Sus scrofa: one gene and its partner. The protein of the gene in region 1 purifies or fractionates together with the protein of each later gene. This does not show direct contact. Links are inferred from orthologs where the notes say so. Each region holds a gene or a part of one and is shown on either strand. Other genes may lie near its edges. The genes, in order: RETREG3 and REEP4.

Evidence for each region.
Region 2: the proteins of RETREG3 (region 1) and REEP4 purify together in Homo sapiens (affinity purification with mass spectrometry; 3 studies listed by BioGRID and IntAct, with this or other methods). This does not show direct contact. The link is inferred for Sus scrofa from reciprocal best matches to the Homo sapiens genes RETREG3 and REEP4.

What each region holds. Positions count from the first base shown.
Region 1 is NC_010454.4:20,230,912-20,234,718, reverse strand, and holds part of RETREG3 (protein FAM134C), read right to left. Parts: intron 1,206-3,807; coding exon 1,099-1,205; intron 1-1,098. UniProt on the Homo sapiens protein: Endoplasmic reticulum (ER)-anchored autophagy regulator which exists in an inactive state under basal conditions but is activated following cellular stress.
Region 2 is NC_010456.5:6,412,127-6,416,543, reverse strand, and holds the start of REEP4 (receptor expression-enhancing protein 4), read left to right. Parts: upstream 1-1,501; 5' UTR 1,502-1,684; coding exon 1,685-1,722; intron 1,723-2,296; coding exon 2,297-2,369; intron 2,370-2,768; coding exon 2,769-2,845; intron 2,846-2,935; coding exon 2,936-3,056; intron 3,057-3,475; coding exon 3,476-3,589; intron 3,590-3,987; coding exon 3,988-4,123; intron 4,124-4,283; coding exon 4,284-4,417. UniProt on the Homo sapiens protein: Microtubule-binding protein required to ensure proper cell division and nuclear envelope reassembly by sequestering the endoplasmic reticulum away from chromosomes during mitosis.

The DNA of each region.
Region 1 (3,807 bases):
CAAGCCTCTGACTGCTCTAGAAACACACATCTCTCTCCTTGTGCAGATCTTTGGCTTCGTTCAAGGCTAGCGCAAGGGCCAAAATTCATGACAAACATACTGATTACATACTGCACTGTGACATCTCTGAGGCTGTTCTATAACTTTTCTTTCTTCCTAGGGCTGCACCTGCGGCATATGGAAGTTCCCAGGCTAGGGGTCAAATGGGAACTAGAGCTGCCAGCCTACACCACAGCCACAGCAGTGAAGGATCTGAGTTGCGTCTGTGACTTACACCACAGCTCATGGCAACACCAGATCCTGAGCGAGGCCAGGGATCAAACCCGCATCTTTATGGATACTAGTCGGGTTCGTTACCACTGAGCCACAATGGGAACTCCTATCATTTTTCTTATGTTTATGTATGTTTCATCTTTGAGAAAAGGAACATATCTTAAGAATACTTTATATAAGTCATAATGCCTAACTTAGTGCTTTGCAAATAGACAACTTTATTTTATATATTTTTCTTTTAATGGCCGCACCTGCGACATATGGAAGTTCCCAGGCTAGGAGCTGTAGGTCACAGCCACAGCAAACCGGATTCCAGCTGCATCTGCAACACATGTTACAGCTTGCAGCAACGCTGGATGCTTAACCCACTGAGTGAGGCCGGGGATCGAACCCATACCCTTATGGACACTATGTCGGGTTTTTAACCCACTAGGCCACAACAGGAACTCCAGCAAATAAATAACTTTAAAGAAATTCCTAAGAGGCAAACTGATGCCACCTTGGTAATGATGTAGTATCCAGGGAGGAGAATTATTTTTTAACAACTTGAGGACTACTTATTCTGCAGGCCAATTATGAGCACAGGAATATCTCAAGTGGTAGACATAGATTTCCTGAGCTTAATAACAATGGGAACGGCGGAATTCAGCTCTAAGGAACTACAGATGGGGCACTAGCCCATCAAGTGTCTGCTAAAGCAAATAATTCAGACTTCAAAAGATACTCCCACTTTCGTGTGCTCTCCCACAAACCCCTAAAACTAAAGGTAAAAATTATAGAAAGGCCATTTTCAGTTCAGATTGCTCTAAAAGCTCCCAAACTCACCTTTTATTTCAGGCCAGATTTTGTTCTTCCACTGATCTATACACACAATGATCATGGAGCTGAATGCAAGTAAAAACACAAGACGAAGGGATGTCAATGCAAAGAACCTAAAGAGAAAGCAAAACAGATCATTATCCAATTAAGCTAATTTCAGAAAAGACCACACATGCACTAATGGTTCTGTGGTGAACAGACTTAAGTGCTAGCTACATACCTTGGGAAAATCAAACTTTCTGGACTTCAGCTATTTTACTTATGGTGTAGAGATAGTAATTTGCTTCTACAAAGGCAGAGGACTAAAGCAAATAATGCCTTTCAACTTTCAAGTCTTTGATTCTATTAATTTCAAGAAGTTCATTCTTGAACACAAGTTGATATGATGAAAGCAAACATGTTTCTACCAAACAGACCCTGGTGTAGGGCAACAAACTTGACAGAGATGCATTAAAGAGCATCTAATTCAATTAGATACCCTTTTACAGATGAAGGAACCAAGGCTCAAAAGAGCAAAATGACTTGTCAAGGTCACATAGAAAGTGAGCACTGAGGCTACATCTAAAAGCCAGTTCTTCAGAATTAACACCAACCCTTCATAAACGCTTCCAAAAAATTGAAGACAGATGCATCTTGGTTCATTTAATGAAGGCATTACTCTGATACCAAAGCCAGACAAAAACACTTAAAACTATAGGCCAATAAGCATTATGCATATAGATGCAAAAATCCTCAATTAAATATCATCAAAAAGAATTCAGGAGTTCTTGGTGGCCTAGTGGGTTAAGGATCTAGAGTTGTCACTGCTGTGATGTGGGTCTGATCCCTGGCCTAGGAACTTCCATATGCCACAGGTGTGGCCAAAAAAAGCAGATAAATTCAGCAACATATTAAAAGGATTATACACCAGGACCTATTCCTGGGATTTATTCCGGGCATCAAAAGTAGTTCAACATACAAAATCAGTAATTGTAATGTATTACATTAACAGAATCAAGGAAAAGCTAGTTCTTATTTGAAGGAATCAACCATAAAGAGATATTTACTCATTGTACAACTACAGGTGTGATAAATTCACTGAGTAATAAAAAAAAAGAAAAAAGATATATTTACAAAAAAAACCTGGGAAATATGAAAGACAGTACATCTGAAGATATTCGGACAGTATTATTAATTTGGGGGTATGATGATGTTACAGCAGTTATGTTTTGAAAGAGTCCCTATCGGAGTTCCCATTGTGGCTCAGCAGGGTAAGAAGCCGACTAGTATCCATGAGGATGCAGGTTGGATCCCTCGCCTTGCTCAACGCGTTAAGGATCCTGTGTTGCCGTGAGCTGTGGTATAGGTCGCAGTGGCGGCTGGAATCTGGTGTTGCTGTGGCTGTGGCATAGGCCAGCATCTGTAGCTCTGATTCAGCCCCTAGCCTGGGAACTTCCATATGCCACAGGTGTGGCCCTAAAAAGAAAAAAATAGCCTCTAGGGCATTGCCCTATACAGGGTCTGCAGACCAGTGATTTTACCAGGCTGTGGGGAAGTAAGTATAGAAATTGAAAGTAAGCATTTATATGGGTTTGATCGCTGGCCTCGCTCAGTGGGTCAAGGATCCAGCATTGCCATGAGCTGTGGTGTAGGTTGAAGACACTGCTCGGATCCCACATTGCTGTGGTGCAGGCCTACAGCTGCAGCTCTGATTCGATACCTAGCCTGTGAACTTCCACATGCCATGGGTGCAGCCCTAAAAAGACAAAAAAATAAAAAAAGGAGAAAAGAAAATAAGCATTTAGAAATTTTTATGGCAATTTGATCAAGCAATTGACTCTAAGAATATATGTGGGCTTGTATTTTGTATGCTTTTTTTTTTTGTCTTTTCAGGGCTGCACCCACAGCATATGGAGGTTCCCAGGTTACGCCAGAGCCACAGCAACATGGGATCTGAGCCGCGTCTGCAACCTACACCACAGCTCATGGCAACGCCGGATCGTTAACCCACTGAGCAAGGCCAGGGATCGAACCTACAACCTCACAGATGCTAGTTAGATTCATTTCCACCGTGCCACCATGGGAACTCCGGCATGACTTTTAAAGTTAGGTTGACTTGGAGTTCTCGTCGGGGCTCAGTAGTTAACAAATCCGACTAGGAACCATGAGGTTGCAGGTTCGAACCCTGGCCTTGCTCAGTGGGTTAAGGATCTGGCATTGCCATGAGCTGTGGTGTAGGCTGCAGACGCGGCTCGGATCTGGCATTGCTGTGGCTGTGGCACAGGCTGGCGGTTACAGCTCTGATTAGACCCCTAGCCTGGGAACCTCCATATGCCACGGCAGCAGCCCAAGAAATGGCAAAAAGACAAAAAAAAAAAAAAAAAAAAAAAGTTAGGTTGACTTGAGTTTGTATCTCTGAACAGCCACTCTTCATTGTGTGACCCTGAATAAATTACCTTAACCTCAGTTTCCTCATCTATATTTGATATTAACAATAACAAATCTTGCACTATTATTTGCAGGTTATTAGAAACAACATAATCACTTACAAAAAATATCATAGATGATCTTGCTAAAAAGTCAAGAAAATACAAGGCACCTAATACATGTCTAACACAAAGTCCTATTCGGTTTTACAATGTAGAAATGTTATTAGCTATCATCATAGCAACTCATCAAACAAGGGTAAGGATGACGAAGGGCTGCTTATAAATGACCTCTTCTCAACACATGACC
Region 2 (4,417 bases), on another chromosome or scaffold:
AAGCGGTTAAAAAAAAGGAATTTTTGGAGCTCCCTTCATGGCTCAGTGGAAACGAATCTGACTAGTATGCAGGTTCGATCCCTGGCCTTGCTCAGTGGATTAAGGATCTGGCATTGCTATGAGCTGTGGTGTAGATGGAGAGAGTCGTGGCTCGGATCTGACGTTGCTGTGGCTGTGGTGTAGGCCAGTGGCTAGAGCTCTGATTCAACCCCTAGCCTGGGAACCTCCTAAAAAAGACGAAAAAAGGAGGGGAGGAATCTTTGTAAAGATCAAGTCTCTGCCCTCAAAAATGCACTACACCAGTGGTCGTTGATACTATTCCGTTCCCAGGGATATTTGTGCCCTTAACTCACAGAAACTGATGGAATTTCAAACTTCCGGAGAAGAAGACATGGGGGGCACTGGGCACTGGGGTCTCCACCCAGAATCTCTCCATTCCGCCAGCCCAGGGATGTGGGCCCTGGAAAGGTAACCCAGGGTGCAGTTCACCCCGGAAGCCCACTCTTCAGGGTGAGTGGGACGGGATGCTGAGTCTCTCGGGTTCCCTCTCCACCTGCTCCCGGTTTTCCCTCTCTGGCACCTCAGCATCTTTGAGGCACTTACCCACCTCCTGACCTAGCGCTCTAAAACCAGATTTGCTGGCTCTCTGCCAAACCTCCCTCCCACTTGTGCCTGAGCCTCTAAAGGGGGACCTCCACACATCTCAGGCCCATTTTACAGAGGGGAAAAACGAGGCAAAAGTAGGGGGCTAGTGAAGAGCCACGAAAACTCTGGACTCCAAGTTTCCTTCATTTCTTTCTGTTTCACCTTTTCGTTGCCGCTTCCCACCCCCAAATCTTTCCCAGTCCGAGGGCTGCTCAACCTCCAGCCCCATCTGCGAGTCCGAGGCGCATCGCCACTTTAAGGGCCAGGCACCTCGCCTCCCGACCTCGTCCCGCCCCCTCCGGGGCCGCACTGCGCCTGCGCCCAGCGCTGGAGACCTGGGGTTGGGCAGAGCCCAGTTCCGTGCAACTTTCAAGTGAGTTGCAAACCCCGCCCCGAGGCCGGTGCCGGTGTCCTGACCGCGGGGACCTGCACGAGCCCAGGCTGCGACCAGCCGCCCCCGGCCCGGAAGCCGCAGCGCCCCAGCAAGGGCCGAACGCCTGGTTCCCCGCGGCAGGAAGTGCAGGTCGGAGCGGTAACTGCGGGAACGGCGAGGCCGGGCGGAAGAGCACGTCGGCCGGTACTGGTTCCCAAGTCGGTTCCTGCCTGTCCCGGCCCTCTGGTCTCCCAATTCTTCAGGCTTCCCGCACTGCGGAGTTAGTGGGCAGCAGGGCTCTGCCTCCGTCCAGGGGCAGCCCGAGTGCCCCTGTGGTTCGCACACCTTCACTCTTAATCTCATTCCAGCGCTGGCGTGAGCGTCCGTCTGGGGGTCTTCCCGGAGAGATCTCCCTTCGTTCTTGATTGAAGCTGCAGGATGGTGTCCTGGATGATCTGTCGTCTGGTGGTGTGAGTACCGCCCCTCTCATACTCCCTCTGTCCCTGGTGCCAGCCCGCCCGCCCCTTGGGTGAAAGCTGGCAATGTCTGGCGGGAAAGGGGGCTTGCTGAGCTCCCTCACACCTCTCCCCTCCCCTCAGCACTCACCGAAAGGGTTAACGGATCTGCGGGGCTGCTTGTCCCCCAACCCTCAAGCCTACTTGGCTGATGGCGACCCTTTGCATTCACACACTCGCTGCAGCCAGGTGCATGGGACAGAGGACCACAGGCCAGCCAGGGGCCCCCTGGCAAACACAAGATGTTGTGGCACCTTTGCGGGTGGAGAATCCAGGTGCTTGCTTCCCATCTGAGCAGTCAGTCACGTGACTCACCACGCTGGCCTCAGCCTGCCCACTCTGTCCTACTCATCACCTTTCAGTACTCTAGCACCTGGCTCAGCTATCCCTGTCTGCAGCCTGCCAGTGCCAGGTCTGGTGGCCCTGGGCTTGATTGCACATCCATGGGAGGGAACAGCCTGCCACCCTCACTGCTCAGAAGCCTGCCTCCCACCCATCCTGTGGAGTAGCTGTGTGCACTCTCACTGCATCACGCACCCATGGATGGGCCGTTCCTGCAGGCCTGGGCAGGCTTGGGATGTTTGTAAACAGCGGGTGGGGAGGCGGCCTCCAGGGCACTGACTCAGGTGCAGGTTGTGCAAGCCAAGCGGGAAGAACAAGGCAGGCTCTGCAGTCTTGAACCCAGGGGGGAGTGGCCACCTGGCAGCAGGGTGGGGAGTGCTGCCCCTCACATGCCTTTTCTGCTTTGGGGGCTGCTCTTCAGGCTGGTGTTTGGGATGCTGTACCCAGCGTATGCTTCCTACAAGGCTGTGAAGACTAAGAACATTCGTGAATATGTGAGTGTGGGAGTGGGCAAGAGGGCTTGGCTCAGGTGCGGGGACAGCAGCCGTAGGGGGTGTGGTGGGATTTGGTGAAGTGGGAGGGGTCTGAGCTGGTCTCCAGCTCAGAGGCCTATAATCTGGTGGCATATCCTGGAACAGAGTGGGTGTAGATGGAGGGTGGGCTATTGGGGTTCCTTGCAGAATCTTGTGGGTGAAGCCTGTTGGGGGTGGGTACAGGAATGAGTGGCAGTTTCTCAGAGGTAACTCTCTAAGGGCAGCCAGGTGCCAGGGGAATGCCGTGGGACAGGCTTTCTGGAATCTCCGGGCCGGGTCAGCCTGGGACAGGGGAGTTGGCACTGCAGGCTCAGCTGCCGGCTTCTGACCTCTCTGCCATCTCCCCCACCCTGCCCCCAGGTCCGGTGGATGATGTACTGGATCGTCTTTGCGCTCTTCATGGCGGTGGAGACCTTCACAGACATCTTTGTTTCCTGGTATGGAGGCAGGGGTTAGGTGGGCTGTGGGGAGGAGCCGCCTTCCCTGGCCTGGCTCCCCGGCTGGCCTCACCCCCTTTGCTCTGACAGGTTCCCTTTCTACTACGAGATCAAGATGGCCTTCGTGCTGTGGCTGCTTTCCCCCTACACCAAGGGGGCCAGCCTGCTTTACCGCAAGTTCGTCCACCCATCCTTGTCTCGCCATGAGAAGGTACCCTGGAGGGAGGCAGGATGGGCAGCATGGGGGCGGGTGTGAAGGAAAGAGCCCTGGCCTCAGGGTTCAAGACATTACTGGGCTGTAGTCCCAGTCCTGCTGCTGTTTAGCTGTGGGACCTTGACATGGTCCCATGTCTAGGACTTTTAGCCTTTTTCCTCTTCTGGGATTAGCAGACGGGGGCACACGTGAATGACCTTTTGAGGGTGTGAAACACCAGCTGGGGGTGGTTTGGGGATGGTGGATTTGGTGGCGGGGGGGGGGACCTGGGGCAGGGCCGTGCACTGAGGTGCATGAGCCAGTAGGTGGGTAGGGAGTCCTGTGCTCTGCAAGTTGCAGGGCTGGGAGGCATGCTGCCTGCTGGCTTCTCAGGGTCTCAGGCTGTCAGCCTGACGTCCCTTCCCCCATGGCCATAGGAGATCGACACCTACATCGTGCAGGCCAAGGAGCGCAGCTACGAGACAGTGCTCAGCTTTGGGAAGCGAGGCCTCAACATTGCCGCTTCAGCCGCCGTACAGGCTGCCACCAAGGTGCCCTGGGCCCCAGCCCTCCAGCAGCCCCTCTCCCACCCCCAGCACCTTTTGGGTGATCCAGCCCTCTGTCGGGGAGCCAAGAGATAGCAGCTGTCTGTGCCCAGGGAACAGGGGCAAGAGGTGACAGGTGGGGTGTTGGCAGGAGCACGGAGCTGGACGTTCACACTCCTGGCTCTGACGCTGACCATGAGCTCCTGCTCTCTGGGCCCTAGCTTTGCACAAAGGCACGGGGCTAGAAGCTTGCTGAGGTGCTTTCAGTTCTGAGGCCTGTGCCCTGGGAATGACTTGCAGGTCAGCCTTGATTTCCCTGGGCTGCTGCCCAGGCCGAGGCCCCTTCCTTCCTGGAGCCCTGCCCACTCCTTCCAGGGGTTAGAGCAGTGCCCCCTCCCTTGCAGAGTCAGGGTGCGCTGGCCGGAAGGCTGCGGAGCTTCTCCATGCAGGACCTGCGCTCCATCCCCGACGACTCCACCCCCGTCTACCAGGATCCCCTCTACCTGGAGGACCAGGTACCCCGCCGCAGGCCACCCATTGGTGAGTAGGCACGGGAACCCAGAGCTGTCCCAAGAGGGTGGCTTCCTCCAGGCCTGCTGTGGCTTCTCCCCAGCACTAGAGGGGGGCCTGGCCCGGCCCTAGGTCTTCAGACTGTGTCATTGCCCAGCTTTGCCTCTCAGCCTCCTTCTCCTCCACATAGGGTACCGGGCAGGGGGCCTACAGGACAGTGACACCGAGGAGGAGTGTTGGTCAGATACAGAAGCAGTCCCCCAGCCGCCAGCCCGGCCCCGAGAGAAGCCTCTGGGCCGCAGTCAGAGCCTGCGTTTGGCCAAG